Linked DNA regions of Lytechinus pictus. The protein of the gene in region 1 purifies or fractionates together with the protein of each later gene. This does not show direct contact. Links are inferred from orthologs where the notes say so. Each region holds a gene or a part of one and is shown in the gene's direction. Other genes may lie near its edges. The genes, in order: MKI67 FHA domain-interacting nucleolar phosphoprotein-like, large ribosomal subunit protein eL20-like, pre-rRNA 2'-O-ribose RNA methyltransferase FTSJ3-like and ATP-dependent RNA helicase DDX24-like.

The links.
Region 2: the proteins of MKI67 FHA domain-interacting nucleolar phosphoprotein-like (region 1) and large ribosomal subunit protein eL20-like fractionate together in Homo sapiens (co-fractionation; 3 studies listed by BioGRID and IntAct, with this or other methods). This does not show direct contact. The link is inferred for Lytechinus pictus from reciprocal best matches to the Homo sapiens genes NIFK and RPL18A.
Region 3: the proteins of MKI67 FHA domain-interacting nucleolar phosphoprotein-like (region 1) and pre-rRNA 2'-O-ribose RNA methyltransferase FTSJ3-like fractionate together in Homo sapiens (co-fractionation; 3 studies listed by BioGRID, with this or other methods). This does not show direct contact. The link is inferred for Lytechinus pictus from reciprocal best matches to the Homo sapiens genes NIFK and FTSJ3.
Region 4: the proteins of MKI67 FHA domain-interacting nucleolar phosphoprotein-like (region 1) and ATP-dependent RNA helicase DDX24-like purify together in Homo sapiens (affinity purification with mass spectrometry; 3 studies listed by BioGRID and IntAct, counting the BioPlex papers as one, with this or other methods). This does not show direct contact. The link is inferred for Lytechinus pictus from reciprocal best matches to the Homo sapiens genes NIFK and DDX24.

What each region holds. Positions count from the first base shown.
Region 1 is NC_087247.1:47,894,046-47,901,323, reverse strand, and holds the start of MKI67 FHA domain-interacting nucleolar phosphoprotein-like, read left to right. Parts: upstream 1-4,259; 5' UTR 4,260-4,346; coding exon 4,347-4,409; intron 4,410-4,914; coding exon 4,915-5,023; intron 5,024-6,856; coding exon 6,857-7,080; intron 7,081-7,278.
Region 2 is NC_087247.1:7,744,020-7,751,270, forward strand, and holds the start of large ribosomal subunit protein eL20-like, read left to right. Parts: upstream 1-4,234; 5' UTR 4,235-4,282; coding exon 4,283-4,300; intron 4,301-7,251.
Region 3 is NC_087246.1:16,943,645-16,950,885, reverse strand, and holds the start of pre-rRNA 2'-O-ribose RNA methyltransferase FTSJ3-like, read left to right. Parts: upstream 1-4,218; 5' UTR 4,219-4,479; coding exon 4,480-4,546; intron 4,547-7,241.
Region 4 is NC_087261.1:25,556,710-25,564,234, forward strand, and holds the start of ATP-dependent RNA helicase DDX24-like, read left to right. Parts: upstream 1-4,517; 5' UTR 4,518-4,733; coding exon of another isoform or gene 4,734-4,739; 5' UTR 4,740-4,910; coding exon 4,911-5,144; intron 5,145-7,525. Other genes in the region: uncharacterized protein LOC135157277, read right to left, coding at 1,560-3,052, 4,123-4,225. UniProt on the Homo sapiens protein: ATP-dependent RNA helicase that plays a role in various aspects of RNA metabolism including pre-mRNA splicing and is thereby involved in different biological processes such as cell cycle regulation or innate immunity.

The sequences.
Region 1 (7,278 bases):
GGATGGTAGATGGACTTGGGGGACCTGCATGCTAGGGTCATTGTCACCATGATAATTGTATTTTTTGTCAAATTTTTGTGTGAGCTCTATATATCGTGATGACGCGGTGGGTTCGGGAGATACATGTGCTTGGCTGCGCGACCCGCAGAGCATCTCTAGTTTATAACGCAGGATCTCATTCTAATCTTAACTATCTATATAATATGGTTTCGTAAAATAAATGCGGAAAAAATAGATACATGTAAATCACATTTATTTTACCGGAAAGATCATGGGCTTCACGGCAATCCACTTCTGCATCGCAAGAATTCAAGATGGTGGAACTTTCGGGAATTCTGTTTTCATTCATAAAAAATTAGGAATCGTCCACTTTCGAAAAAAGGTATGATTCATTCATTTTAAGCAATGATGTGACATCACCCCAGGTATTTGTATGAAGGCTTGCATGTACAAGCGAGAGCATATTTAGCGCCGGTTTGGGGCCATGATCCTTTACACAGTAAATGGACGCGGCCTAAGGGGGTCATTGGAGAGCAGATTCGCGAGCGTTCTAGGTGATTTTACAAGAGACTGATGTGTGGAAAATAGAAAATCTTTTTAAAATCATGGAAAAACATGTTATTTAGGAATGAGAAAGATATGAATATTTTGAAATGCACCGCTGGCAGAAAAAAATTGCGCACATTTGATGTCCCTACTAATATTTTTCTTTCGGTAATGAAATTGTATATTTGAGAACATTTTGTGTATGTTTTATTGAATTTGGTTTGTAAAGACTAAGAGCCAGCGGTTATGAACTTCAATTTTGAGTGTTGTGAGGTGTTTGAGAATCTGAGTCGGCCGATCGAGCAGCTGTAAGTGACGTCATCCCTGCTGCGATTGGCTCGAGATTAGTCCAGGTATTCAGACACGGTAGATTTCAGCCGTTGTATATATATTTTTTTAATTACGATTTGAGCTCTGTTATAAAATTTTATTTGTTATTTTGAAAATAATTTTGTAGAATTTGTGCGAAATAAGTATTTAGAGCAAAACTGCAAGTGAAATTTAAGAATTTTTTTTGATGAGTGATTTTTGTATCACTTGCATAGCAGTGTGAGACTATAGGCGCCGCTTTTCCGACGGCGGCGGCGTCAACACCAAATCTTAACCTAAGGTTAAGTTTTTGAAATGACAACATAACTTAGAAAGTATATGGACCTGGTTCATGAAACTTGGCCATTAGGTTAATCAAGTATTACTGAACATCCTGCCCAAGTTTCGTGTCACATGACCAAGGTCAAAGGTCATTTGAAATCAGGGTCAATGAACTTAGACCATGTTGGGGGAATCAACATCAAAATCTTAACCTAAGGTTAAGTTTTTGAAATGACAGCATAACTTAGAAAGTATATGGACCTGGTTCATGAAACTTGGACATAAAGTTAATCAAGTATCACTTGACATCATGCATGAGTTTCACGTCACATGACCAAGGTCAAAGGTCATTTAGGGTCAATGAACTTTGGCTGAATTGGGGGTATCTGTTCAATTACCATCATATCTTTGAAAGTTTATGGATCTGATTCATGAAACTTGGACATAATAGTAATCAAGTATCACTGAACATCCTCTGCAAGTTTCAGGTCACATGATTAAGGTCAAAGGTAATTTAGGGTCAATGAACTTTGGCCAAAATATGGGGTATTTGTTGAATTACCATCATAACTTTTAAAGTATATTGGTCTAGTTCATTAAACTTGGATATAAGAGTAATTAAGTATCACTGAACATCCTGTGCGCATTTCAGGTCACATGACCAAGGTCAAAGGTCAATGAACTTTGGCCATGTTGGGGGTATTTGTTGAATTACCATATCTCTGTAAGTGTATTGGTCTAGTTCATAAAACATGGACATAAGAGTAACCAAGTATCACTGAACATCTTGTGCGAGTTATAGTAGTTATCAACGTCAGCACTGCTGCTATAATGAATCGCGTGATGCAGGTGAGACCGCCAGAGGCATTCCACTTGTTTGTTAGAAGGAGTCTGAATGTCTAGAATATGGTATTGTTAATGGAAGTCGTATTTTTGAATGGCAAAGAAAGTCCTTTTCATGAATTTAATTTAGAAATAGGTCTACATGTTTGAGCTGTTTCATGAATTTGATATCTGATTATGGACCTTTGTTATGGTGTTAATTATTATTTTGAAGATCTTTATTAAATAATGAGATACATGTAAGACAATAATGAGGCAATAATGATAATGAGACAATAATAAGAAGACAATAATAATGATTATGACCGAAAGCAGAGGGCAGCAACACACAGCCGTTTTTCTGCCTTCATTCTACGTTCAGTCGCTATGCGGACGTGAATGTAATTTCAATATGATCTGTGATGGAGTCGAGTGCAGTCACGATGTGTGGATTGTTGTAGCGAAGTGGGATTGTGTTTTTGGCCAGTTGATATTCGTATTTCGTTGAAGATTTGGGAGTAATTTCTGTTGCTATTCTGTGCATTTTGAGAAAAATATATTTTCTGTGATTTTCCATTTGAAAGGCCGCTTTCCGTTTCAAAAGGCCGATTCCATGAATTCCGTCTGTTTAAAATCACTGTCCCTAGATATAAAGGCCCGTATTATGAAGTCAGGTTTAACTTAGAACATGGTCTAACTCTGTGCTAAAATTATGGAAGCCAAAAGTATCAAAATTTTTATTAAGTTGTATGTTTCTTTTATTTACTGTGCTCTTTCCTGATTCTTCAATGGTGAAGACAATCATCTATTTATACTCTCTAGACAATTATGAATGATTTGAGAGCCAAATGAGCTGAAATATCTCTACTGTAGTGATTTATGTAACAATCAGCTAGCCATATTTAAACCACAACTTTAAACATGAGTTTAAGTTAAACCCGACTTCAGAATACGGGCCATACTGTTCCTGCAAGTGATGATGAAGAGTCAATCAATTTCACCTCTCACATGTGACTGTGGAATGAACGCATTACTCTGTCTGATGCAGGAATCAATGTAACAGTACAGTTTAATACATGGCAAAGTAGTACACCAATACTCACAATGTTAGTTGAAGATATCCCTTGTAACGTATGTAACAATAACAAATGCACTTTCCAGATGTGGTGTGAATGGTATTTTTCAGTTTCAGCTAGCCAGCACCATGTGTGTCTAAACTAGCAAGGGTGTGCTTGTATGCACAGTGAATCGTTTTGTGCTGTAGTCACAACATGACATAGATTACACTGGAACCGAATCAACTGCGAATTCACATACTCTGGAGTATTCTGTTCTCCCTCCCTGAATACGAGAAAAGTCTGGAATATTCGTGGAGGGATTTGGCTCGCTTTGAAATGTTCAAGACCAGCCAAATACAAAATACCGGTACTTCCGAATGTGACCACAACAAATTTCATTTGGGTCACATTCAGGATGTATTTGGATGGATTTCAGTTGGATTCTGGGAAGCATTTGGGGTATTCTGGGCAGTCAATTCTCGGCTATTCTGCTCTGATTTGGGACCTATTCCGGACCTATTCGTTACTGATTTGGGGAGTTCACGAATCAGAGACGAATAGGTTAGGAATCCACCGAATTCATCCTAATCAGGCCATATTCAGGCAGAATCTGTCCAAATTTATTCGGGAGAATTTGTTTTTTGTGTAAAACAAAGAGATACATGTATATGAATTTCAGTGTCTCCAAAGACTAAGAATTATCAACCACTTCAGACCTATTTTTCCTTGTCATGATACAAAAATTTCAAACTTGATCAACCAGGTAATGTTATGAAAAGTATATAGTCAGAGTTTCTTGATTTTCTTGTTTCTTGCTTGAATTTATCGGCCTGATATGATGAAAATGAAATGTCTGGGTGTGTGTGTGTGTGTTTTTTAAAACAATTTCTCAAGCATGGAATAGTCAAACCATTTCAGGATAATGATCTTTGTCTGGTTTTGTTTAATCGATAAAAAAAAGAAATTACAAAATGCATACAGAACAGGTCATTTTTTAAAGAAAAAAAATCAATGCATCTGAAAAAGGGTTCTAGAGAGTAGCTACCTGTTTTAATTGAAACTTAATTTTCCACAAATATAATGGGGTTGAAAAAAAATCAATTGATGGCCACTTCAAGTTTGTAAGACTTGAATTATCACATTATTCACATGATACTATTGACCTTTTACCAAAGCTTGAGCTGTCTTTAAAAGTTAATCAAAATCTGTATTTTCTAATTGTCACTGTTATTTCATGTAAATCTGCAGAAACGTGATATCCATGAAGATGACCCAAACTCTGGCGTCGTTTATGTGTCTCATATTCCTCATGGTTTCTTTGAACCTCAAATGAAAAAGTTCTTCTCACAGTTTGGCAACATCAAGAGGTTACGACTCAGCAGAAGCAAAAAGGTGAGAATTATTTTGGTGTTAAATTACTCCCCCCCCCCCCTTTCCCCCGATCCCAATACATACATGTAGATGCTATTTGAAAAACTACCAGTCATTGGATCAATATTGATAGCAACTGTTAATTTTATACCTGTGTCAGTCCATTTCTTTTTGTGTGTGTGTGTGTGTCTACTGACTGCCCAGCATTTTTGGGTGAACACTGGTGGACCGCTCAAACAAATAGATACATGTATAGGAATTTCAGTGTCTCCAAAGACTGAATTATCAACCACTTCAGGCCTATTTTTCCTTGTCATACAAAAATTTCAAACCTTGATCAACCAGGTAGAGATAGTCAGGGTTTCTTGATTTTCTTGTTTCTTGCTTGAATTTATCAGCCCGTAATGTTATAATCTTGCCAAAGTTGAGTATACTTATTTTCCAATGTATTTGTAGCTATTCAGAAATTATTCTCTCCAATCAACATGTACAGTTGTTAACATGTTTTGGTTTACATTGATTTCAGAGCGGAAGATCAAAGGGGTATGCTTACATCGAATTTGAATATGATGAAGTTGCAAAGGTGGTGACTGAGACAATGCACAACTACCTGATGTATCAGAAGCTTCTAAAATGTGAGTACGAAAAATTGTGCGTCAGTTACTTATTACAATTGTTATTGCACGGCTACTTCTATATACAAGAAATTTGAATTATTCAGCAGTTTGGTAAAATTGCCTCAAAAGATCAAGATTTTTTTTTTCATGTTTGTGGTAGGTTTCCTCTTCAGGAAAACAAGGTTTTTTTATTTTTTATTTTTTATTTCCAATCACAAAATTAAAAGAATTTGGGAAAATACCTGATAAATTTCAAGGTTTTGTAATTAGATTTATTGTATTATTATACTATTATGTGTACAATGGCAAACTTTTAACCCTAAAAGGACTGGGCTATTTGAGATGTATTGAGGACTGGGGGGGGGGGGGCAATCATGGCCCCCCCTTCTGATCTCGGCCGCTGTAAACTACAAGCCAGTATAAAAAAAAGCTATTGAAAATTTTTTTTTTTTTTAATTATGAATGAGATATACAAATTTATTCGTGAAAATCATTATTTGCATATTTAACACCCAATTTCACTTCAAATTTTCTTCTTTTTTCCAGATGTCATCTGTGTAATCTAATTTAAAGGAATCCACAAAGAAAAATTGCCAAAGTCAATTTTTTTCCTCATGTATATCTTTGTTTTTTGAACTTATGTATTTTTGTTTTTTCATCCTTTGTTTTTTTTTTAATGGAAATTATTACAGACAATTTAACCACTAAATTAAACCCTGAAGAAACTAAACAGAACAGTTAAAGGGTAATGAGACCTTTGGAACAAGTAGGCTTATGTCGAAACAGAAAAATCACAGAATAAGAACAAAACAAGTTTGAGAAAAATCGGACAAATAATGGGAAAGTTATGACCATTTGAATATTGCAATCACTAATGCTATGGAGATCCTCCCATTGGCAATGCGACAAGGATGTGTGATGTCACATGTGAACAACTTTCCCTTTGATGGACTATAAAATACCCCCAAAATGTCTCTTTTTGCTTTTTCTTACGGTGAAACAAACTCTATCCATGATGTATTTTTTAAAAATCTGTATTACATGACCTCCTAAAGAAAGAACACATAATCTACTGATAGATGTGATAAAAGAGGCAATTAAAGTGAAATATATACTAAATTAATGGGGAGAGTTGTTCACAGGTGACTTCACACATCTTTGTCGCATTGCCAACGTGAGGATCTCCATAGCATTAGTGATCGCAATATTCAAATGCTCATCACTTTCTCATTATTTGTCCGATTTTTCTCAAAATTTCATTGATCTGTTTCTTTGATTTTTCTGTTTTCACACAGGCTATCTTGTTCCAAAGATTTAATTCTCCTTTAAAATGAAAATAATCACCCTTTTATGAATTTCATCTCCCAAAGACTTTGTACACAAAGTATAAAAATGAGCCATTTTTGGCACAACATTGTCTCGTAAAAAGTGGTGGGGTGTCGATGCTTTCTGTGTATATTGCGAATTTGGTCCCAGACTTCAAAGAAAAAAGTCATAAAATTTTGCGGCGCTATCTCTTTGCGTTTCGGAAATATCGTGCGAAGCGTTGAGGGGGGCATCATGGCCCCCCATCCTTTTATGGTTAATGCAATATGCAAAATGTAAATGTAAACATGAATGCAATTCAAGTTTGTTAAAAAGAAACAAATCTTAAGCTAATTGAAAAAAAATAAAATGGGAACTAGCAGAAGTTAGGTATATATATACATTTACTCTTTTAAGTTTCTTTATTTTATCTATAGGTGCATGTATGAGTAGAGATTGGTTCAAATTGAGAAATGAAAAACACACGTTTATCTTGGAATGTTTTGAGCAATTCTATGTCTTTTCAAATTATTATTTTATTTCTAGGTTTCTATGTTCCTAAAGACAAGCTCCATCCTGACACATTCAAGGGTTGTTTCCATCACTTCAAGAGCCCCCGAAGACGAGAGATTGCAGCCTCCAGAAACAATAGCTTGTTAGAGAGTGGGAAAGATCATATCCTGGAGAGCCAGAAGCGGAGAGTGAGAGGTCTTAACAAGAAACAGAAGAAGCTTCAGGAGTTAGGCATTGACTTCAAAATAGAGGGTGTGGTGAGTATCTCTCCCTTTCCTTGCTATGTTGTACTTTGAGCTCTTTCATACAATATACAAGGAACTTGTCAAACTACACATAAAACACAAGTTTGTGCCATGTTGTACTATAGTCATGTTCAATTTCTAGCATGGTGAATATACTTTTTGTGAATTATTACTGCTAATTGTCACTGGACCAAACTTCGTTCAGCAGCC
Region 2 (7,251 bases), about 40 Mb from region 1:
ATTAAGTTTCTCCCCGCCACCTTCCCCGTTGTTGGATGTGGGATCGGCCCCTGAACATCCATTCAAAATTATTTATTTCGATGGGCCTGCAAGTTACTTCTTCCTATAAATATATTGTCGACAAATTTAATGGTTGGACCTTAACTTTATCCAGGGCCCTAGCTGGGAACGATTTTTTTTTAATAGGGGGTGCTGTTTTTAATTTGAAAAGCAAATAAAAAAGGTTTTCACAACAAGATGAAGATAAGTCACGAGAAATTTGACAAGCAAAATGGGTTCGCTACAAAAAGAGGGAGAAATACAAGTAAAGGGAAGGCCGGGGAGGCCGTAGATGATAAGATGAAGATGAGGAAGAAAAGTGACTGAAACAAAGAGAGAAGAATAATTGGTAAAAACTTTCAGGTCAAAAGGGGTCATTATATGAAACAAAACAAAAAAATGCTCGCGCTTCGCGCTCACATTGCCTTGAGTGAGATGATCTGCTCAAGAGGATAACATGCTGAGACATAAAATATCCCGTTTGATTGATTGATTGAATTTATTTCCGTTAAAAAAAACAAAAAAACAATACATATAAAATGATAAATGTGAATTGATAAATAGAAAACGGGAGGATGGCCCTACTCAGCAGCATCAATCATGGTGCTGCTGATCTACCGAGGGGTCCTCGGAGTCAATGTGCACAAATTATTCAATGCATTCTATTCATAATTACGAAAAAGTGAATATCAAAAAAATTTCAGATCACGCTACATATGCGTTCGCATAGACGGATCCTCTTCCCGATTTCCCATCTTTGAGATTACCCCTATATTGGTTCAGGTCAGTATAGGCCTGCTTATTTTTAGAGATTTGCATTCGCATTGTTAAGCAGTTAGATACTCATACAGTAACATTAAATGATTTTTTAATAATGTTCCTACATGTTAAACAGTGCTTAACATGTTTTCTTTCGGGTCAATATATCAAACATTTCAACTAATGCTTCGCACTCGCATTATATTTTGTAAGTGCTTAAAATAATGTACTGGTTTTTTTTAATGGAGCACCAAAAATGTTCAGCTCGCGCTTCGCGCTCGCACCGTATATATAGCAAGATACCCATCTTTTTCATGAAAATGAATAGAATCTCTCATTTTTAGGTCTATAGACCTAAATATATATATATAATTATATCACCTCACGCTTTGTGTATGCAATAATTGCTTATTGGATACATATCTTATTGTTGATTGAAAACTTCATTATAATCCGTCCTTTTTGCAGATCGGAATATCATTTTTTTTCTCTCATATTATTAATACCCACTGCTTAGAATGTCCCGTTCTTATAGGTCTAAATCGCCCAAATTTCAGCTCACGCTTCGCATACTTTGTTCATCATTTGTGCTTTAGGTCGGAGTATTAAAAAGTTTCACTTCGCGCTTCGCTCTCGAATCAATTGTTTGGTTAGATACCCATCTTGATTATGATTACTTTTTTTTAAATAGAATGTCACGTTTTCATGTGCATTTATTACAAATTTCATCCCGCGCTTCGCGCTAGCATTATGCATTTATGCTTTATGCCATACCTTGTCTTGTCCTCAGAAAAAAAAAGATGTACTTCAAAGTTCAGCTTTTAGCATGTTTAGCGGCCGATCGGGGAATATGGATTAAAATATTTTTGCCCCCTCTTCTTGGCAGAAGCTGCATAATCTTGACTACAGACCTAGAAATTGTTATTGTATATTACCATTATCCCAATATGAAAAATAAAGAAAGGGATAAATACTGGTATCTTACTGCCGTCCACGGAGCTGACGTGCTTCTGTATAACCGAATGAATGTTGAGCGACCGGCAAAAAGAATATTTGTTATGAACGTAAAGGATTCCCCAACTAAATACACAAGATACCTCGCTATTCATATCACAGAAATAGAATTTTAAGCAAGCGAGAGAGATATAGGAATAATTACCGAGATCCGTATGAATTATTGACTGTATAATGAAGAATCTCCAATAGAATTTGTGACTTATGAAAAATTGATAAATATGTTTACAAGGTTAAACACTCGCGGATACTGTCTGCTTCTCTTCACCATGTTCATCCAGTGGCGAAATGATAAAAAAAAAAAAGGGGGCCAAGCATGGCGTACGCCTATTGGGCAAAATTTATTTCTAAAAATCAAGCGAGAGAAGGGAGCGAGCAAAAAGTTTAAAATTACTTATAAAAGATCTAATTTTGTGATAGATTTTGACATCCAGAAAATAATACCATTATTCACCCTTCTCTCTTTCATTTTCTTTCATTTTTGGGGGGGTCCATGCCCCCCGCGCCCCCCCCCCACATCTGCTGGCCAAAAAGCGGGAGAATAGGAGAAAAAGATTGAGAAAGGAAGATATACATATAGTGGGGGGAGAATAAATGATTGTATATCATATTATGTAGGCTATATTTATATAGATGATATTATTTAAGAAATATTTTTAAAACTTTATAAAACATAAATTGCTTAGGCCTATATGTGTTCACCATTCCTGCTGAGAATATATAATCCTGTTGTGCTATCCTGTTTTCAAGTCAATATACAGTCCTCGCACGGCCCTTTTAGGGTCTGAATATAAAACATTTCCAGTCCATGCTTACATTCGCATTAGTAGATTGGTGAGATATGAGCTTCATGAATTCCTAAAAACAGTCCTTAATATATGTCCCTTTCCTGGTCTGAATATCAAAAATTTTCAGCTCGCGCTTCGCGCTCGCATCATTAAGCGAAATACGTATGGTCTACTCTTAGTGAATTCCTATAAACAAGCCTTAGAATGCTCCTCTTCGGGTCTGAATTTCAAAAATTTTCAGCTTACGCTTTGCGCTCGCAATTAGTGAGATACATATCCTGTTCATGATTATAATGACTACAAAAAGTGTTTCATGTAGCTAGGTGTAATTATGACAAAATCAGCAAGCGCTTATTGGCGCTCGCATAAAATGACTATGGTGAGATATGAATGTCCTTCATGAATTCCTTAAAAATAATCCTTAAATGTCCTTAGTTGGGGTCAATATATACACAAATTTCGGCACACGCTTCACTCTCGCATTGATTGTTTAGTGAGACAGGTATAGGCCTACGTTTCATGATTTTTAAAATTTAATGTCCCTGAATATCAAAATTATCAGCTCGCGCTTCGCGCTCGCATTATTTGATCAGTGAGATACAAATCCGTTTAATGGCACAGTCCTTAAAATGTCTCTATTAGGTCAGTGGCTGGCAATTGAGCGCGCTTCGCGCGCCCACTTAATGACTCAAAATATTTGCTGGTGCCCCCTCCCAATGCCTTGACCCACGGTACGCCTCATCTGTATGCCCTTCTTCATGCGATAGAGATCACAAATGAGTTCTCTCCTAAAAAGAAAGATACTGTATAAGCTGTTATTTTCGCGGATTTCGCAAATTGCCGATCGGCCGCGAATTTAACAACGCGCGAAAATATTGACACATTTATAAATCAGTGCCAATGTCCCCAACAGCAAAGTTTTGCTATTGAAAACATCTATCAAAAAAATTAATTAGATTTACATTAACAAAAAGGATTTTTTTTTTAGCTCGCTCGCAATTACTCCAAATTCCATATCTGCTGCCTCTGCTGCTCATGATTAGGCATATTTTCTTCTTACACCACTGATCACTTGTGTGATCAACACCTGGGAAAGGAATTTTTGTATTCCTTTCTTTTTATTCAGTGGGCTACGCCATGCAGGGGGCCGCATAATTCATTTCAACCAAAAAGTCCTTGTTTTAACACTTTTCATGGACCTCATTGAAAAATTATTAAGAACCCGGGTTATAATGCTTTACATAAAAAGGGTTTATAAGAAATTAACTACTGCAATCAAAAGCAATGTTCTTTCTCAACTGTTCCATAAAGGGGGGGGGGGGGTGTTTTCAAGATTGGCTTATAAATTCAAATCATTAAAATTAAACCTGGTTGTAAATTGGCACTGTCCACTGTTATGCTCCCCGAAGAATATTGATCGTACAACTTCAATCATCGTCAATTTACCAATTTAAAGATATCATATCAAAATTCATACATTTTGTATTTTACCTTGTATATATATCTTTTTTTATTTTTAATAAAACAATTTTAATATTTTGAATATTTTACTGACTTTGAAATATACACATACATGTAAATTGAGCAAAAAATAATGACCGTTTCTTTTGATTATTGACCATATCTGTATTTTCTGTCACTCCTCGGCCTTTTCGTCCTTTTCCTCGTGGGTTGTACACGAAATGAAATTCAGAGGACAGGTTAGAAAGTGGCTTATTTTACCCTCCCCAGTCCCCGAATATAATCATTGTAAAATAAATGTGATTAGATAATAATTAATTTATAATATGATATTGATTCTATTAACATTTCATAAATACTAGAGGAGAAATTGAGATATCTATTATGGGGTTCGAAACAATCGACGGACACAGCAGAACCGCACTGCTACTAGTGCAGTGCCACTGGTAATGGCATGTTGCTCTGCTGTGTGCACTGCACTGAGCTGTGCCTGGGCTGTGGTGTGTGTGGAACATGTCATGGTCATCATGGATGATATTGTGTTCTCTCTTTTTCTTTGGGATTTTGAATGAGTTGTGGATGTTACAGATGTGATTCAGTTTTTTAATTGTACTGGCATGACTGACCTGGACTATATAATAATCTGGATGACTGGCATCAGGTGACGGGGGGGGGGGGGGGGGGGGGGGGGGGGGGATGCGCAGGCGCAGGAGGATGACTTGTTGACGATATGTGTTGAGAGATTGCTCATATTCATAATATGTTTGAGACACGATCCTTTTTGTTATGAATTTGCCATCATGCATGCCAGGGGCGCACACATTCGTAATTCCGAAGCTTCGTTATTCCGAAGGTTCGGATATTCCGAAGGTTCATTATTCCGAAGGTTCGTATTTCCGAAGGTTCATAATTCCGAAGGTTTGTTAGTCCGAAAACGAAATGAGGTTCGTAATTCCGAAGGTTCGTTAGTCCGAAAACGAAATGAGATTCGTAATTCCGAAGGTTCGTTAGTCTGGATAAGAAGTGAGGTTCATAATTCCGAAGGTTCGTTAATCCGAAAACGAAATGAGTTTCGTAATTCCGAAGGTTCGTTAGTCCGAAAACGAAATGATATAGAACCTTATTTCGTTTTCAGACTAACGAACCTTCGGAACAACGAACCTTATTTCGTTTTCGGATTAACGAACCTTCGGAACAACGAACCTTATTTCGTTTTCGGATTAACGAACCTTCGGAACAACGAACCTTATTTCGTTTTCGGATTAACGAACCTTCGGAACATCGAACCTTATTTCGTTTTCGCATTGTCGAACCTTCGGAATAACGCCACAAATGTTCGGATTAACGAACCCTTTTACGTTTTCGGATTAACGAGCATCGAGGTATAGGCAATTTACGTGTATCGGAATTACGAACCTTCGGAATAAAGAACCTTTGGAATTACGAAGTGTAACCGCCAGGGGAACCCCAGGCTTAAAAAAATTAATTATTGAGAAACTTGCTCAATGTGACAGTGACTGGTTGCAAAACAGGTTTGATGCAGGGGGAAGAGCACAGTGGTAAATTGTCCATAGACTGTGTACAACGGATAGACCATCTCCGTTCAGCGAATCGGAGACCGCTGATTGGTCAATTGCGCAGGTGACGTCATGACTACGTGGTCGCCAAAATAATTCCTTCGGACTGCGTGCGAAAGTATCGATAACGATATCCGGTCACATTGTCTACGCGGGAAATGATCTTGGTTCGTGATCGGATCGCTCCAGTATCGATCAAAAATTATTGAGACTCCGCAATTTCATGCATATTCATGCAACGCTCCGAAAATCAATTGACTTTGTGCATGTTGCGATAGACTCTACAAACTCCAACGAACATGATGCCATATCGACGCTTTATTTGTAAGATTTTGACGGAAAAGCAAGAAGTAATCGAAATTCGTTTACCTGTGCGTTATCGGTGAGAAAATAGATCCTCCGAGAATACCTTTCATAATTCATATAAAATATAGGAAAGTGAAATTCAAGGTCGATTTTGGCACGAAGTGATAGAGAATTGCACACTTGTTTTGGTGGAATACTGTGTGGGGCAATGGAAGGCTTGCACTGCGCATGCTTACTATATTTTCATTCATAAATTAGATCTCGGCAGTGGCTGGATGACGTCATATAATAAGCAAAATTTACACGCCCGCTAGCGTGGAACGCATCACTATCCGTTCTTTACAATTTGCCACAGTGAAGAGGGCTCAGGGCTAATTTCAACTCTCCCTAATTCTCGCTACCCCAAATAGGAACAAAAATCTCATAATGCGCGAGACGAGATAATTTTCACTCCGTCGGGTCGTCATCACCACTTCCGGTTTAGAGTCATGCTCGCGCGAGGTTCGCGATACTGAGTTTTCCACCACGCTGAAATCGATGCCAATCAGCGTAATATGTACAGAGTATAATACTTTTTATTACATTTGGTCAGTTTTGATTCCATTTGAATTATAAATAAAAATAAAAAATATATTTCACGTGAAAATAATTTTTATTCATGTGTTTATTTGGTTATAAAAAAATCAAACAAATAATGAATATCTTAAAATTGTGCATTTAGCGACCGGCCTGACATCATGATCGTATTCAACTAGACGCTAAATATATACAGCATTCATTTCGTTCAATTTTTCGTCGACCACAAAATGGATAAAAATCAGTTTCGGAACTTAAAAAAAATCTTAACTGACAGATGAATACCGTGCAATGGAAAGCGTCGGGCAGAATTACTGACTTTAGCAGAAAAGGCTGTAAAACTGTTAAACTGTATCGTGAAAGAGAGGGTTGTGATCACGAACTTTCCGAGCGAAAGCGACGTTGTGTTGTTGTGCATGACGGCACTGTTGATCTGAATGGCAAAACAGTGCATTGGACTTCCGAACAGGAAGTTGTAATACCGAAAAAGCTATCCCATAATGCAATGCACGTTACAGGGATTTTCCCGGATCTCGGCGAAATCGCTATTTGGGGTAGCGAGAATTTGCTCCAAATGCCCTCAAAGATTTTTAAAAAGTGCCCTTGAAATTTTCATAGCCTAGGGACTGACACTAATGTAAATTGAAAGAACAAATTAAAGTTATAAACAAATCTAGATCCAAATGAATGAATAAAGAAACAAATATAAATTAAAATTAAATCTATTAAAA
Region 3 (7,241 bases), on another chromosome or scaffold:
CATTCACTCGTCTTCTTCCTCTTATTTTACCTCTTCTTTTTTTCTCCTCTCTTTTTCTCCTTTTTCTTTCCTTCTTTCTGTCTTCTTTCTTTCTTTCTTTCTTTCTTTCTTTCTTTCTTTCTTTCTTTCTTTCTTTCTTTCTTTCTTTCTTTCTTTCTTTCTTTCTTTCTTTCTTTCTTTCTTTCTTTCTTTCTTTCTTTCTTTCTTTCTTTCTTTCTTTCTTTCTTTCTTTCTTTCTTTCTTTCTTTCTTTCTTTCTTTCTTTCTTTCTTTCCAGCCATGGGTTATAGGCCTATGCCCTTTAAAATTTATACCCCATGCTCCCAATTTTTTTCTGAGTGCGGGCCGGGTGGTGGGCCTAGTATATATAGGCACGAGCTATAGCTCGATCCGGGGGGCACTTTGTCTTGGTATAATATTATGATACCTATATATGTCAGGGGCCGCGGAACGGTTTTCAAAGTGGGGGGGGGGGGGGGGGGGGGCTGACCATGCAAAAAATCACAAACCTATGGTCATTTTTACGTTTTTGTACACGGTTTTGGAAAAAAGTGGGGGGGGGGGCTGAATGTGAATGATTTTCCTGGAAAATTGTTGCAACGTATTATAGTGATTTATAAAGATGCTGCCTTTACGGTCAAGGCCAAACTTGAAAACTCCCAGTGCAGCTTTGAGACAGTAGTGAGTGACCGTTGAGTTTGCATATCACTGTGTCTGTTTTAAAACTAGTGAGCGAAACTTTAAAATGCTATAATTTTCAGCTTGTCCGATTTTGATGAAATTTTCAGCAATATGCTTGGTTTTTTGGCATCTTTTTTATTATTATCTAAATCCACTTTTTTGTTGGAGCGGACTTAGTTCCTCTAAACCCGGCGGTATCGAGGGGGCGGGGATCGATGATGCAACTGACCGGCCGGCCCTCAAACTTTGAACTTGATATTCCAAATATTGCAATGATGCCAAAATCGGAACAATATATTTACGGTATCTCATTTATTTTAGGGCAATTTTAGTGCCTTTTATTTCTTTCAATCGGTTGAGTTGCTCGCTTATAATTTTTTTTTCAGAAGCAAAAGGCCGAAATATGATTATGCCGAATTACCCGTTGGACGATATTCCAGAATCTTTAGCAAGCCGGATCGATCGGAATGAATTTCGCCACCTAGCCATCCATGCTTATCTAGCAATCTGTGCATGGACGTCCGGACTACTACTGTGCTCTGTGGACACGTACGTGCAGTCGCCGTTGGCCTAACGTCAGCTTAATGGACGACGCCATATTGCCAGATTTGGCCCGCGCCCTCACCGGCTAACGCTCGGCTAAAGCTCGAACGCCATTCACCCATACACTAATTCCCCTTGATTACCGTTGTTAAAAACCACTGTCAAATCTTTTCCAGCATTTTTATGAATTAGCGGTTGATGTTTTTCCGTTTATCAAATATCCTTCATTATACACATATTTTTTTCATATTTATAACATTTTTATTTTAATCACAATTTCAGTCCAAACGCGGGTCAGTTTTTGTTAACCCACGTTGTTTGTGCATGCCCACGTGTAGCCTTACGCGTATTGAAAGGAATGATGTTGGGTGGAAAAACAGAATTGTTATTGTTTGTTCCTTGTTTGTTGGGGATGAAACTATGATGGCGACCAGTCACGTTTGACTGTACCGCCAAATAGTTAAGATTAATTAATTAAGGTCAAGGTGAGATAAGAGAAATGAGCAAGGGGCATTGTGGTGGGGGGGGGGGGAAGGGAGAGAGAGAGAGAGGGGGGGGGGGGTTACGAGGGCCGAGTGGGGATACAGTTTCATCGTGCAGTACAGGGCGTCGATGAACACTTTTATTTTTTTCTCCAAAATATGGAAAGTGACAGAATAATCAGAAAAAGGTTGATTGGTTCTGATTTTGAAAAAAAAACAGAATTTATCAAGATTGCTGTTATTCTTCATGGATGTAGAATTTAATTTAGTTTCTCTGATAAGTATAGAAAACAACTCAAATTTTGATTAATCGTATTTCATTTATTTCACTCTTTTCTTTCGCCTCGTTTTTTTTTCTTCCAAAAAATCAGGGAGCTGAAAAATATGAGAGCTAGAACCTAAAGATATGGGGTAGCTATGACGTTGGAGAGGGCGCAGCCTCATGCACTTGCAGATCCAGATCAATTTTCACAGGGGACACTTAGAGTAGCCCCTATTTCTTTAATATTATTTTTACAAGCAAAAAAAAGTCAATGAAGACATCAGGCCACCGACAGCTGCCTCGTCAAAGGGGGGGGGGGGCGGTCGATTATTTTGAGTATTTTTTTTTTCATTTTGTCCTCAATAGGGGGGGGGGTTCAATTAATTCTATATACACTTCTATTGTCTTTATATATGGGGGGGGGGGTCTGCTACTGAGCATGTTTTTAAAAGGGCTTAATAAGGGGCTTAATATAACAGAAATTGTACGATTTAACACAATAAAATGTATCATCGAGGTAAATACTAAATTAATACATAATTAATAATTGTTTTAATTGAAAATGAAAATAATAAAGGCACCCATATATCTAGACCAAAAGCTTCGGTCTCTGTTATGTTGGTTGTTCTGCTGAACTACGTTGGCTCCACTCACCAAATACATGTGTACGAGGAGAAATTAAAAAATAAAAAATGTTAAAAAACTCCTCGAAACAGACGGCTGCCAGCTGTCTATTGTACGAGGAGAAATTAAAAATTAAAAATGGTTAAAAAACTCCTCGAAACAGACGGCTGCCAGCTGTCTACCATAGATCTTAACATCTCATAAATACAGGCCTAAACCTGTATTGGAAGTTGAACAGGCATAAAGTATAAATGTTTAGCTATAGCTGATGCTTTGATCCCGCAACCAAATAATGTTATATCAGTCAGTGGCGTAAGCCGTAACAAGCGAAAATAATTGAGGGTAAAACGATATGGCGTATCAGGCAAAATTTATAAAATATATAGTTGCAAGCAAGCGACATAAGCATAATTTTGACTCTTGGTTACAAAAATCCAATTGAACGATCTCGCAAGATTCTCTTACCTTTTCCTTTTTTTTTCTTGTTCGTGAATTGGGGGCATGCAAGACCCCCCCCCCCCCCCATACAGCACCACTCTTTGTTGTCACTGTCTAAAATTTGATTTAAACTTTGAGAATTTGAATTTCTTATCTAAGTAATCCAAAGGGATAAGACAAAAATATTTGCAGATTACTTATTTCAAAGTATTTTTATACCTATAACTCCCCAACTCTGCTCTAGCTGCACTGCACGTTACCTAACGGCCTTCCACCAAAGGGCCAGGCCGACTCACCCCGTGAGCAAGTGACCGCGTTCGCGTAAGTTCACCCGAAGCCATGACTAAATTCTGACCATAAACATCACCTAACTAATCACTCTTTGACAATATTTCAAAGTATCTTTTATTAGAGTCGATCCTTTGGGCCATTAAACGATAATATTTCCAATGTTATCATGACAAACAATTTTAATGAGATAGTGGCATTGTAGAAAAAACTAATTTATAAGCACGAAATGGCACCAGATAAATCATCAAACATACAGCGCAGCGTTCGGGACTGGTGAGTGGTACGGCTCGCTTGGAGTTTTCGCCCCGACGAATTCGGCGAAAACGCTACCATTGCGCCGTGCGAATGTTCAATCTGCGGCTCTCAATCAGAGACTTGAATGTCTCTTTTTGCATTATCAAAAATGTATCATAGACTTTGTTTGATTTGTTTACAAGTAAGTTGCATATCCGTCGTGATAATTAGGAAAATCCATGATGTCTTCTTCTAATTCTGTAAAAATTACCTCTTCAAAGTGCCTGTGTCAGAAAATTTCCGGAAATCGTAAAAACTTGCCTAAAATGTCTCTTTTTGAAAGTTCATCCATGGTCTGGAAAAAAATGTTATAATTTATGTAGACGTATACCGTAAACAAATACATCCTCGATCACTGAAATGAAGTGTTTGCTAAGCTTTTTTATCTCAGACCGCGTTACCATGGCAACTTGGGAAAACCTTTATTTTTTAGTAATAAAATTCTGGTTTTAAGAGTCATTTTAGAGACATAAAACTAACCATATTTTGAAGTATTGGGTTTAAATTTCACATAACACTGAATTATCTATGTTTATACTTTCGTATATGAATATTCATATTTCTTATAGAATCTTAGTTTTTGATTGGTCAATGTTTCAGTCATGGATAATAACTAAGCGTTAAAAAATCTGAAAATGCGCATTTTATCGGCAACCAACAAGCAAGATGGCGGAACACATTAAGTTGGCGCTATGCACGTACGTGTGGACGGTTGATCTAGATCGACTACGCCGGAGTTCTCGGTCCAAACACTACTGAATCTCCGCTGGCCTAATAATACTAGCTGCGACTGGCCTGGCTCATTTGGATGATTCGATTCGAAACAATTTTTTAACATCTGAGGCGGGCAAATTTCTCCTTCAAAATGGGCAAGAAAGCGAAAATCGGAAAGCAGAGGAAAGACAGATATTATCATCTTGCTAAAGAAACAGGTTTGTCAATTAATTACGGCCCGAGAATTAACTATAGCTAAACATTATTAAAGGAGAATGAAACTCTTGGAGCAAGTTAGCTTTTGTGAAAGCAGAAAAATCAAAGAATAAGATCAACAAAACTTTGAGTAAAATAGGACTAGCAATAAAAGAGTTATGAGCATTTGAATGTCGAGATCACTAATGCTATGGAGATCCTCCCATTGGCAATGCGACCAAGATCTGTGATGTCACACACGTACAACTCTCCCATTTGGACACTGAAAATATACCCCAAAACATCTCTTTTTGCTCATTCTAATCATATGACAAACGATTCATCAATGATATAATGTTGTGAAACCTCTGTACTTGTCATCTCATAAAGAGAACACCTCACCTTGTGATAGACTCTATAAAAGTGAGAATATAAGTGAAATAAGTAATGAGGGAGTTGTACGTGTGTGATATCACAGATCTTGGTCGCATTGCCGTTGGGAGGATCTACATGGCACTAGTGATCTCAATATTCAAATGCTCATAACTTTCTTATTATCCATTCAATCTTCCTCAAACTTTCAACAATATGTTTCTTTGATTTTTCTCTTTGATATGGATTCAGCTGGTTTCAAGGGTTTCATTCTCCTTTAACACTGTCTCATCTCATGACGACATGGGTCATGTTAGGCCTAGTCATGTAGTTAGACTCTGTCACTTGACAACTGACCACCATATTTTAATGTTTGTCTATAAGCCCCGCTTATAATATAGTGCCCTGGGGTGGTATTCTGAATAATCTGAGGTCATTTTATCTTTAAAATATTTTATTTTATCTCTTAAAATGAAATTGGTATTCTGAGAGTGAGATGACATTTTATTTTTATCTCTCACCGTCACAGTCTCGGATAAAATTTACAATTTTATCTTGCGTATAAATTTTATCTTGCGTAACTATGATGATACGCAACAGAACAGTGCCTGCGGAGACATACCCATCGCGTATCTGGGTATTGCAACGCGGATGATGTGCTTGCGCCCAAGTTTAACTTTGAAGAAAAAAATAAAATAAACTTAAAACTAAAAGAGGGTAGGGGCTATTTTATCTCTGCGACGTTGATTTCACCAATATTTCTAGGTGAATTAACCCAAAATGTTGACATGAAAATGAAGAAAAATTATATATTTAATGAGAATAACACCTTAACGTTATTCCTGTACAATCATAACCCAGGGAGCCCAGGGGCTTACCGTGTATTTGACCATAGTCACCGGACTAGGGTGATTTATGGTCTAAATATTTCTCCAAATGAATTGTGAAAACAGAAAGTATACAATTACCACGATTATATGGATGAAGGTCTAACGAGTGGCAGTTTCCTGACATCTGGGCACAGACTGGAACCTAAAAAAAACGAAAAGTTCTCTCCTTCTACCCAGTCTCGATCGGCCATTTTGTTACGATTTTTAACAAAAATGGCTGATCGAGAAGGGGGTAGAAGGAGAGAACTTGTCGTTTTTTTTAGGTTCCAGTCTGTGCCCAGATGTCAGGAAACTGCCACTCGTTAGACCTTCATCCATATAATCGTGGTAATTGTATACTTTCTGTTTTCACAATTCATTTGGAGAAATATTTAGACCATAAATCACCCTAGTCCGGTGACTATGGTCAAATACACGGTAAGCCCCTGGGCTCCTGGGCGGGAGCTCCCTGGGTTAGTACAATCAGAAAGTATTTCATAAGACTTGTCTTGACCAATATTGTCTTTGAAATGATGCTTGAAAAGATGCGATATAGACTTCGAAAAAAGATGAGAGTATTGTCCTTTTTGTTAAAAAGAAATCTCTGTAAAGACGCGCAAGCGTATTGTGCAAGCGTATTTGAAGTCAATAAATTGACGCAATCTCACCCCTTTGCCACACCTCATGGCGGAATGGATTTCAATTGGTTGAGTGACACGAGATAGCTCTAAAAGCACGTTTCTAATTGGATATTGATTAAAAATTAGGTGTGTCTTAAAGAGATAAAATTAAGATACAATTGTTCTCAGAATACCAATTCGGAGATATTTTAAGGGTATTTTATTTCACTGATTTTAACGGAGTTAAAATATTGTATTTTATCTGAGATAAAATGGATCTCAGAATACCACCCCTGGGGCCTGGCAGTGGACGGGTAGAAAAAGGGGGGGGGGGTGGAATTCCTCAACGAGGCGATACAAGTAAAACCACAGGTGGTAGCCTCCATGCTCCGTCTTAACAGACACTCACTTAAAATCCTACCCTGGTAAGGTTTCCATGGTATGAATGCCCCCCCTCCAAAAAAGAGGCAGACAGAAGGAGAACTAAAGGAAGGAAAAGGGGAGAAGTAAAAGAAAGAGGAGAGGGGGAAGGAAAGGGATGGGCCCAGGGGGGGGGCACTCGACCCAAAAAGTAGTAGGTATGTGCCGCGGGCGAGACAAAAAATGGGGGCCTTGGAGCGGGCTTATTGTAAAAAGGAGGGTCCTGGGAACGGGCTTCGGAACTACAAATGTTTGTGAATACGGGGGTCCTTGGAACGGGTCGCCTGCATGTGGGTGCGTATGCATCCCTATGGAACGTGCATGCAGCTAGCCCGGCGGCACGACTGCCGGGCGGGCTAGCTCAGAGTAATGTTGTAAATCGGATCAAAAATCAGATCGAAAATCGGATCGGCAGTTAAGCTTCTAAAATCGAAATC
Region 4 (7,525 bases), on another chromosome or scaffold:
TGAGAGCTAATTAATATGCGTAAATGCAATATCTCCAGTTATATTAGGTTTCACGCAATGAAACTTGGCAAGATGTTTTCTTGCACTAAGACCTTTAATTTTCACCACTTTTGTACAATCTTATTTGACAAATATGCAAATTAGCTCATTTATTATGCAAATTAGCTAATTTATGCATAATTATTAATACATAATTCATCAAAGATTCATCGGCAACAATCAAACCATCCTACAAATTGTCTCTTTCATATGGGTTATACAAGGTTGATAAACTTTATGATTTCACAACACTTATCTTTTACCTATACAGTGCTGAAAATGAGTTTAAGAACAGCACTGGACAGATAACCTTAATGAAAGAGGATATTATTATTAACATGCCAAAGACAGCACATATCTGTTCTTGGCAGTTCTGAAATTGAATGATCAGTTGCTGCACAAGTCAATCCAGGCTGGTATTTGAGTTTTCTTTCAAGTATCACAATAATATTACAGATGCTGTTTCATTAGATATTTTAATATATTCCCAATTTTAGCATAATAAATTGAATTTTTAATAACATTGATGTTTAATACATTTCTATGAATTCTGACTTCAAACAATTTAACAAAAAATAACTGTAATCTTCATCCCATTTCAAGTAGGTCATGACAAGGACAATGAGCAACAGCCAAGGGAATCAAATCGAGAAAGGGGAAACTGCAGCCAGACACAAATGAGCGGACAACCTGATGAGAAGGGATAAGAGGGCATTCAAGGCATAGTAAAAGCCATTGGACAGTCTGCATAAGATATTCTACCTCATTCATTGAACTTGTGTTTTTTTTTTAGCACAACAATAATATAACAGATGCTGTTTCATTAGAATTTTCCAAAATCTGCCTGGTAGATTTTTGATTGCAGGTTTGTATAAACTGTAAGAGTAAAAAATTAATTGGTGGACTGGTACAAAATTTTGAAAGACATTCATATTATATGTACCACAAACTAGTGTCTCAATATGGCAGGAAATATTACAATTCAATGTTTTTATGTATTGCAAAAGATGAAGTAATCTTGATTTACTACAAAAAGAGCAGCTATAAACATGTACTGAGTAAAAATAATTTGTACATTAGTGTTATTCCCTGAACATAATTGTAATTGGTGGATTCATGCAATAAATGCAATTACATTGAGTAAAAACGAAATTTATTTTCGGTGTGTGCATGAATAGTTTCTTTTCAAACACACAAAAAAGATAGCAAATTTATTTCACATACCTCTTTATCTGTCGACATGGATGAATTACTGAATTCCAGAAGATATATGTTCCATTACTAAGCATTGTCAAACCACCATAGAAGTCTGATATGTAAATAATTTGTCCAAATAATAAAGGTTAGTGATCCATTAAGTATTCATTTCAATATCCTGATGAATTGATAAGTAATCTTTCTCAAATCAATGCTATAACTCTGAAGTGAACTTGGGCCAAAATCTCTTGTGCAGAGTTCATTTTCAGTTAAGACATCATTTTTCTTTCCTTTGTACAAATGAATAACTTTGGCTGCCTTTCTTACATGAGCTCCAGACAATTATCTTCCCATTCCTTCTCAAGAGGATATGTGTACAGGTTCTCGTCATTGTCATACACAAGGGTGTAAAATGTATAACCTTTGTCGAAATATTCCTGATCGTTACATTCCATCAAGTCTTCAATGTCCTGTTGAGTACTCTTTCTCAACACTCTGCCATGGTATGTGACAAGACGTTTGCCACCTTCAGGAAGAAACTTGTGTTTAATTCTTTTGTGTAAAATGGTAGTTTCAGGAAAGGGTTCTTTGCGCTTTCTCCCTGTCACTTTTGATAGCAGTTTCTCTCTTAATGCCTTCCTTTCTTCTTGAAGAGTGTCACTATCAGGGAATGTGCAGGATGTACCAGATTCAGCATCTTCTGACTGACCGATGGGGGCTGAATGAACAACCTGAATTATCTCTTTTAAGTTGTCACACAGGTCAGATGCGCTTAGGGGTTTACCAGCCTTTGACTTAAAAAACAAAGCACCTTTGACCAATCCTTTGTTAACAGACTTGTAGTAGTCAATCTGTGCCAACAGAGCCTTTCTTTGATCAGACGGAGCCTTCTTAGCCATCATGGACTCCACATCAGCACTGGAGGTACAAGGACCATCACACAACTTGTTTACCATCTCAGTTGCTCTGACTGCTGTTGCTACTGATTTTCTCTTCTTTTCTTCTTTTGCTTGTTGCTGTCTGTCCATCATCTCTTGCCTTTCCTTCTTCATATCCTTAACCTTGTCTTGGTACCTCTTCATAACTATTCTTTTATTCTTAGTGGCATCATCAAATGTGCTCACGATGTCCTCGTTGCTGTCATCTATAGTAGTCAGGGGAAGCTCACTGTCATCTTTAGTAGTCAGGGGAGGCTCATTTCCATCAGGATGGTCATCTTCCAGTTGCTCTTCATTGATGGGTCTTTTAGTTGGATAGCAGTAGGGAGTTCTTAAAAATTCCTCCAACCTTTCTCTTGATGAATCTCGGGACAATTTGATCCTCCTTGTGGCTACACTTTTCCAACTACTTATAACAGTTCCTCTATGTGGTACTTCACCAGTTTTTTCTGGAAAAAGTGCACACCACCACTCATCAAGAACAGTCTTCCAAGGAATGGAATTTCGTCTACGATAATGAAATAGCTCTACAATGATTCCATTTGAGATATCTCCTTGTAAATTACTGCATCCTTCTTTCAACAAACCAGGAGTAATTCCCAATTGCTGACATGCTGAACCAATAACACGATTAGACCCAGACAAGTCTGTATATTCTTCACATAGGGATTCTAAGTTATCAGCACTGATTGCTTTTAAAGCACTGCGTTTCACTTTGGACAGGATTCCAGGTAATGTGCAGTTAGGTTCTTTGATGCCCATGCTCTTCAAAATATTAACAAAGTCTTTCCGGAAGCTCAAGCTCTCAGTGTCATCAACACATTTTCTGATGATTTCCATTAAGCCAAAAGTAGGCCTTGGGTCCTCCCACCAGTGATCTGTAATTAAAAGAAAAGGAAGAAGAAAAAAAAAATGTCAATGTAGGTTCTTTGCCTGAGTGATTTAAAATCAACGGCATACTAATTACTATATTTACTCAAATAATTGAAAAAAAATATCAATCAATTATTGATCTAAACTTTAATTATTGACATTAAAAAGTGTTTGCTACCTTAAATAAAAGGATAATATTTGCTAATTTAAGAGGGAAAGTCTGGATTTATAAAATAAAAATAATGTGAAACTTGAAAATAAATGCACATACTGTAGACCAAAACAAATATTAGGACTGAACCAATATATGTGTTTCTTAAAAAAAAAAAAAAAAAAAAAAAAAAAAAATTGGGCAGGGGGGGGGGGGGCCACAATTCTTTGTCAATGAATTAAAAAAAAATAATTATGAACGGGCACTAAACAGAGAAAGGGTTTTAAAATTGATAGGGGAAGGATGTGTTATTCACAGCAATGGTATAAAGAAATTCTGAGAATGAGAAATAATTATTAGCTTATAATAATTTTTAAAGCCCATTTGAAAGTATAATTTGTTTCTTTTGTAATTATGTCTCTTTGAGGCCCCCACCCCCTCCCCCTCCCCCCTAAAAAAAAATTAATTAATAAAGGAAAAGAATTGGTTATGGGCACAATTGAGACAAAATAATTCAGTAAATATGACCAAACAATTAATTAAAAGTGACAAATTTGACTTTCAAGTCTAATTTCTTGAATTGCCTGACATCACACAACTATTGATTTGAAAAACGTACGAGGAAAATGAAAACAGTCGTTCCAGAGGGAGGGAGAGAGGCAATGGAATATCCATACCTTAAACTGCGCATGCGCAGAAAAGAAAAATTCGGTCGGCGAATGTGGCCGGTCGACTGGAGAAATGGCTGTGCAATTTTGCGCGCACTCCCTCTGCACAATCACGGCAAAATTGTTCATTAGATATTTGAAAAAGATCGACATTTTTCACATTTCATGTCACAATCACAACCATTTCACATCATTTCATAATAAAAATCCAATCAATCGGGTATTAAGAATACGTAATCGGCACAAATCTACTCACCAGGACATTTCCGTTCGTGTACAAGAGAGTGAATTTCATCGGCAGTCCATCCGGTGAGTTGGAGTATTCGTGTATGTTCTGCGCTGAAGTCAGCGGATGCCATGATTGAAGTCAAGCGCGTAGTACCTCGAAATCGTGAACCAAAATTTGGTTTGCTCAATTCAAAGCCATTTCCTTGCTAGTTACACTCATTTTCAGGACAAAATAATATCATCCCTAAAAAATGTAACAAGTACTTCACTCTTCGGAAATACACTTGAATACCGGAGATATGAAGAATCCAAGCCACACGGTAAAATCGCCTGCGGTGTGACCATAAATTGGTTTCCACGGAAGCAGAATACAGGGTCATGATCGGAAAGGTCACGATATCCTTATATGGAAATTTCATGCACATATTTAGAGTGTAACATGTGAGGATCGTTGATTTTTCTGAGGGGATGTTTTTAGTCATTTTCAGGGCGTTTTCAAAAATACGCGAAGTTAAGCGCCACGCGTCATTTCCCCCCAAATACCGGCGGTGTGCTTGGAGTTAAATATTGATTAGAAATATGAATTCTTCATGAAAAAAGGTGAGAAGCGAGACAGAGCATATTGACAATACAATAAAAATGGAGGTAAAGAAATTAAAACTATATACTTATTTTTAAACTCACAGGAATGTTTTAAAAAGTAACAAAAATTATGTTCACGCAGGAATGGATGAATTTAGCATTTCAAGCAGACTGTGTGCGCATACGCTGTGCTATGCCTTAAATCAAGTTATAATATAAGGTTATCAAATCAAGATGGCGACTTCCATTCGACACGTGAAGCGGCGCGAGCGCTTGAAGAAATACAACAAAATGAAGAGAGAATCACGAAAACAGCCCGCTTTTCTAGATGAACAGAATTGGAAACCTTTCGAAGTGGATATGTCAGCGTTTGCTGACGAAGAGATGGGTGGATTCGTTGGAATGGAGGTTTTAACTGATTACGATCCAAACATGTTTAGAAAACTTACGAGTGGGACTGTGGGAAAGGTAAGCATGCGCATGCAGAGTGAAGGTGCTCCGCTCCGCCGCTTACTGCGCGCTGCGGCAGCTCGAAAAAGACGCCGCCGATGATTCAGGCGGAGCTGGGGCTCAGCTCAGGATAGCCCAAAAAGCTTCAGTCTCTGTATTTTGGTTGTTCAGCTGAACTGCGTTGGCTCCACTTACAGTAGAGGCGCACGGCCAATATGGGAGACTCTCTCCAATAGGGGAGACAATCTCCCACATGTCATTGGAGACTTGCTTTGCAAAAGGACAAAAGAAACAACACCAACAAAAGCGTGATTATTTCCACCCAAAATTTTGTCTCACTGAGGTCAGAAGCCCATTTGTTTTGTGTGTGATTGACAAGAAAAATCCTTATCAAAACAAAAGTAGACGTAGACAGCTGGCAGCCGTCTGTTTTGAGGAGTTTTTTAACATTTTTTTTTTTAAGTTCTCCTCATACACAGACGGCTCGCTAGCGTGCAGCCACCATTAGGGGACTTGCAATGCAAAATCCCCCCGTCGGGGCTCTTCAATTTTTGTCTTTAATCAATAAACATTTTGAAAATTAATGCGACCAAAATGCAAATTGATATTCCCTCTTGGCATTAATTGCCAAGAAACGGCGAAAAATCGAGTTAAAAGGAACAAAAACAGTGACTTACCTCGGCTGTCGCGCAAATTCACTTCCCCGTTTTATCCGATCTTAAGTACATAAACATATGGCCATTGAGTCCCCTGTACAGATCGCGCTAGAACTTCGGTCTCTGTATTTGGTGAGTGAAGCCAACGGAGTTCAGCTGAACAACCAACATAACAGAGACCGAAGCTTTTGGTCTAAAGTAGACGGTGAATTTTTAAAGTAGACGGTGAAAAGGGGTAATTTTTCATTAGGAATCCCCTTATCACATTTTTATTTGCCGCCAAGGTAATCCTTTTGCAGCAAATGTAAACAAAGGAAATTGGTCTCCAAAACTGGAGACCGTCTCTGAAATTGGATACCCAAATTCTTTACAAAAGTCTCTGATATTGGAGATAATCTCCCACATTGGAGATAGTCTCCAATATTGGCCGTGCGCCTCTACTGACTTAGCATGGCCCTGGAGTAGCCTGGAGGCTTGTCAGACACAGACGGCTCGCTATCGTGCACGTGCAGCCACCATTAACGTTAGTCGTTAGACTTAGAATAGATCATGTTAACATTAAACAATGCAAAATCCCCCCGATGCGACGCGACAAGGCTCATCGATTGTTGATTATTTGTTGTCTTTATTCAGGGCTGCCAACTCTCACACAATCTGAGCTGCGTGAGTCGCACACAATTCACCCGATTCTCACGCTGACCGTAGCCGTAGGAATTCTCAAGCTAAACCCCGAAAATAGAGAGAAAAAAAGTTTAATACCTGAAGACAGTACCGAGGTTTTTTACCTGACTGCTAAGAAAGCATGAATGCCTGTGAGCAAGCAACCAGGGGACCAACGGCTTAAAGTCCTTTCCGAGGGACCTGGTAATGAGGATTAAATGCCTTACCAAGGCAAAGGGCACTAGCGCACCACTTGGGAATCGAACCCGGGTCACCGGAATCCGAAACCCCCGCTCTACTGAGCTATCGCGCCTCTTTATTAACCTATATTGGATATTCAATAACATTATAACACGGCCAGGCAAAAGTTTCAAAGTTTTTAACCACACAAGCGCAAAGCTAAACCATCAATGCAAATTGGTTTCGGTTTGCCGCGCTAAGACAAGATATTGAGTTGCGATTGGCTTACTGTACCCCGCGTGAAGAGCTGGTGACATCAAAATTTTACTATGAAGCTGGGTTTTTGAGCGAGGCACAACGAGCGATCGAGTGTCAATGCAATGCCATGCCATGGCGATAGCCCGCCGGCACGGCGCTTTGAATACATGATAGCCCCACATATGCATTTGTGTGTGTTTTGATACACTTGGTTTCTTTCGTAGCTTTATTTTAAATGAGCCAAAAAGAAACTGATAATTTTTATATGATGATACTATCATGATAGTTATAGCTTTCTTTATATCTTTCTCTCCTTCTTTCTTTTCAATCTTTCTTTGTTTTTTGTTACTGTCTTTCTTTTTTAATTTTCCTTTTTTTCTTTGTCTTCTTTCTGTCCTTAAAAAAAATATTTTTCTCTATTTCTTTTTCTCTTTTTTTTTATTTTTATTTTTATTTCTTTCTGTCTTTAATTCTTGAGTCCATCCATCCTATATCTATCTCTTCTTTCTTTCTTTCTTTCTTTCTTTGTTTCTTTCCTTCCTTCTTTTTACCCTTTCTTTCCTTCATTCTTTGTTCTTTCTTCCATCCATCCTTTCTTTACCCCTTCTTGTTTTTTATTTCTTCCTTTTAGCTTTTTTTCTCTTT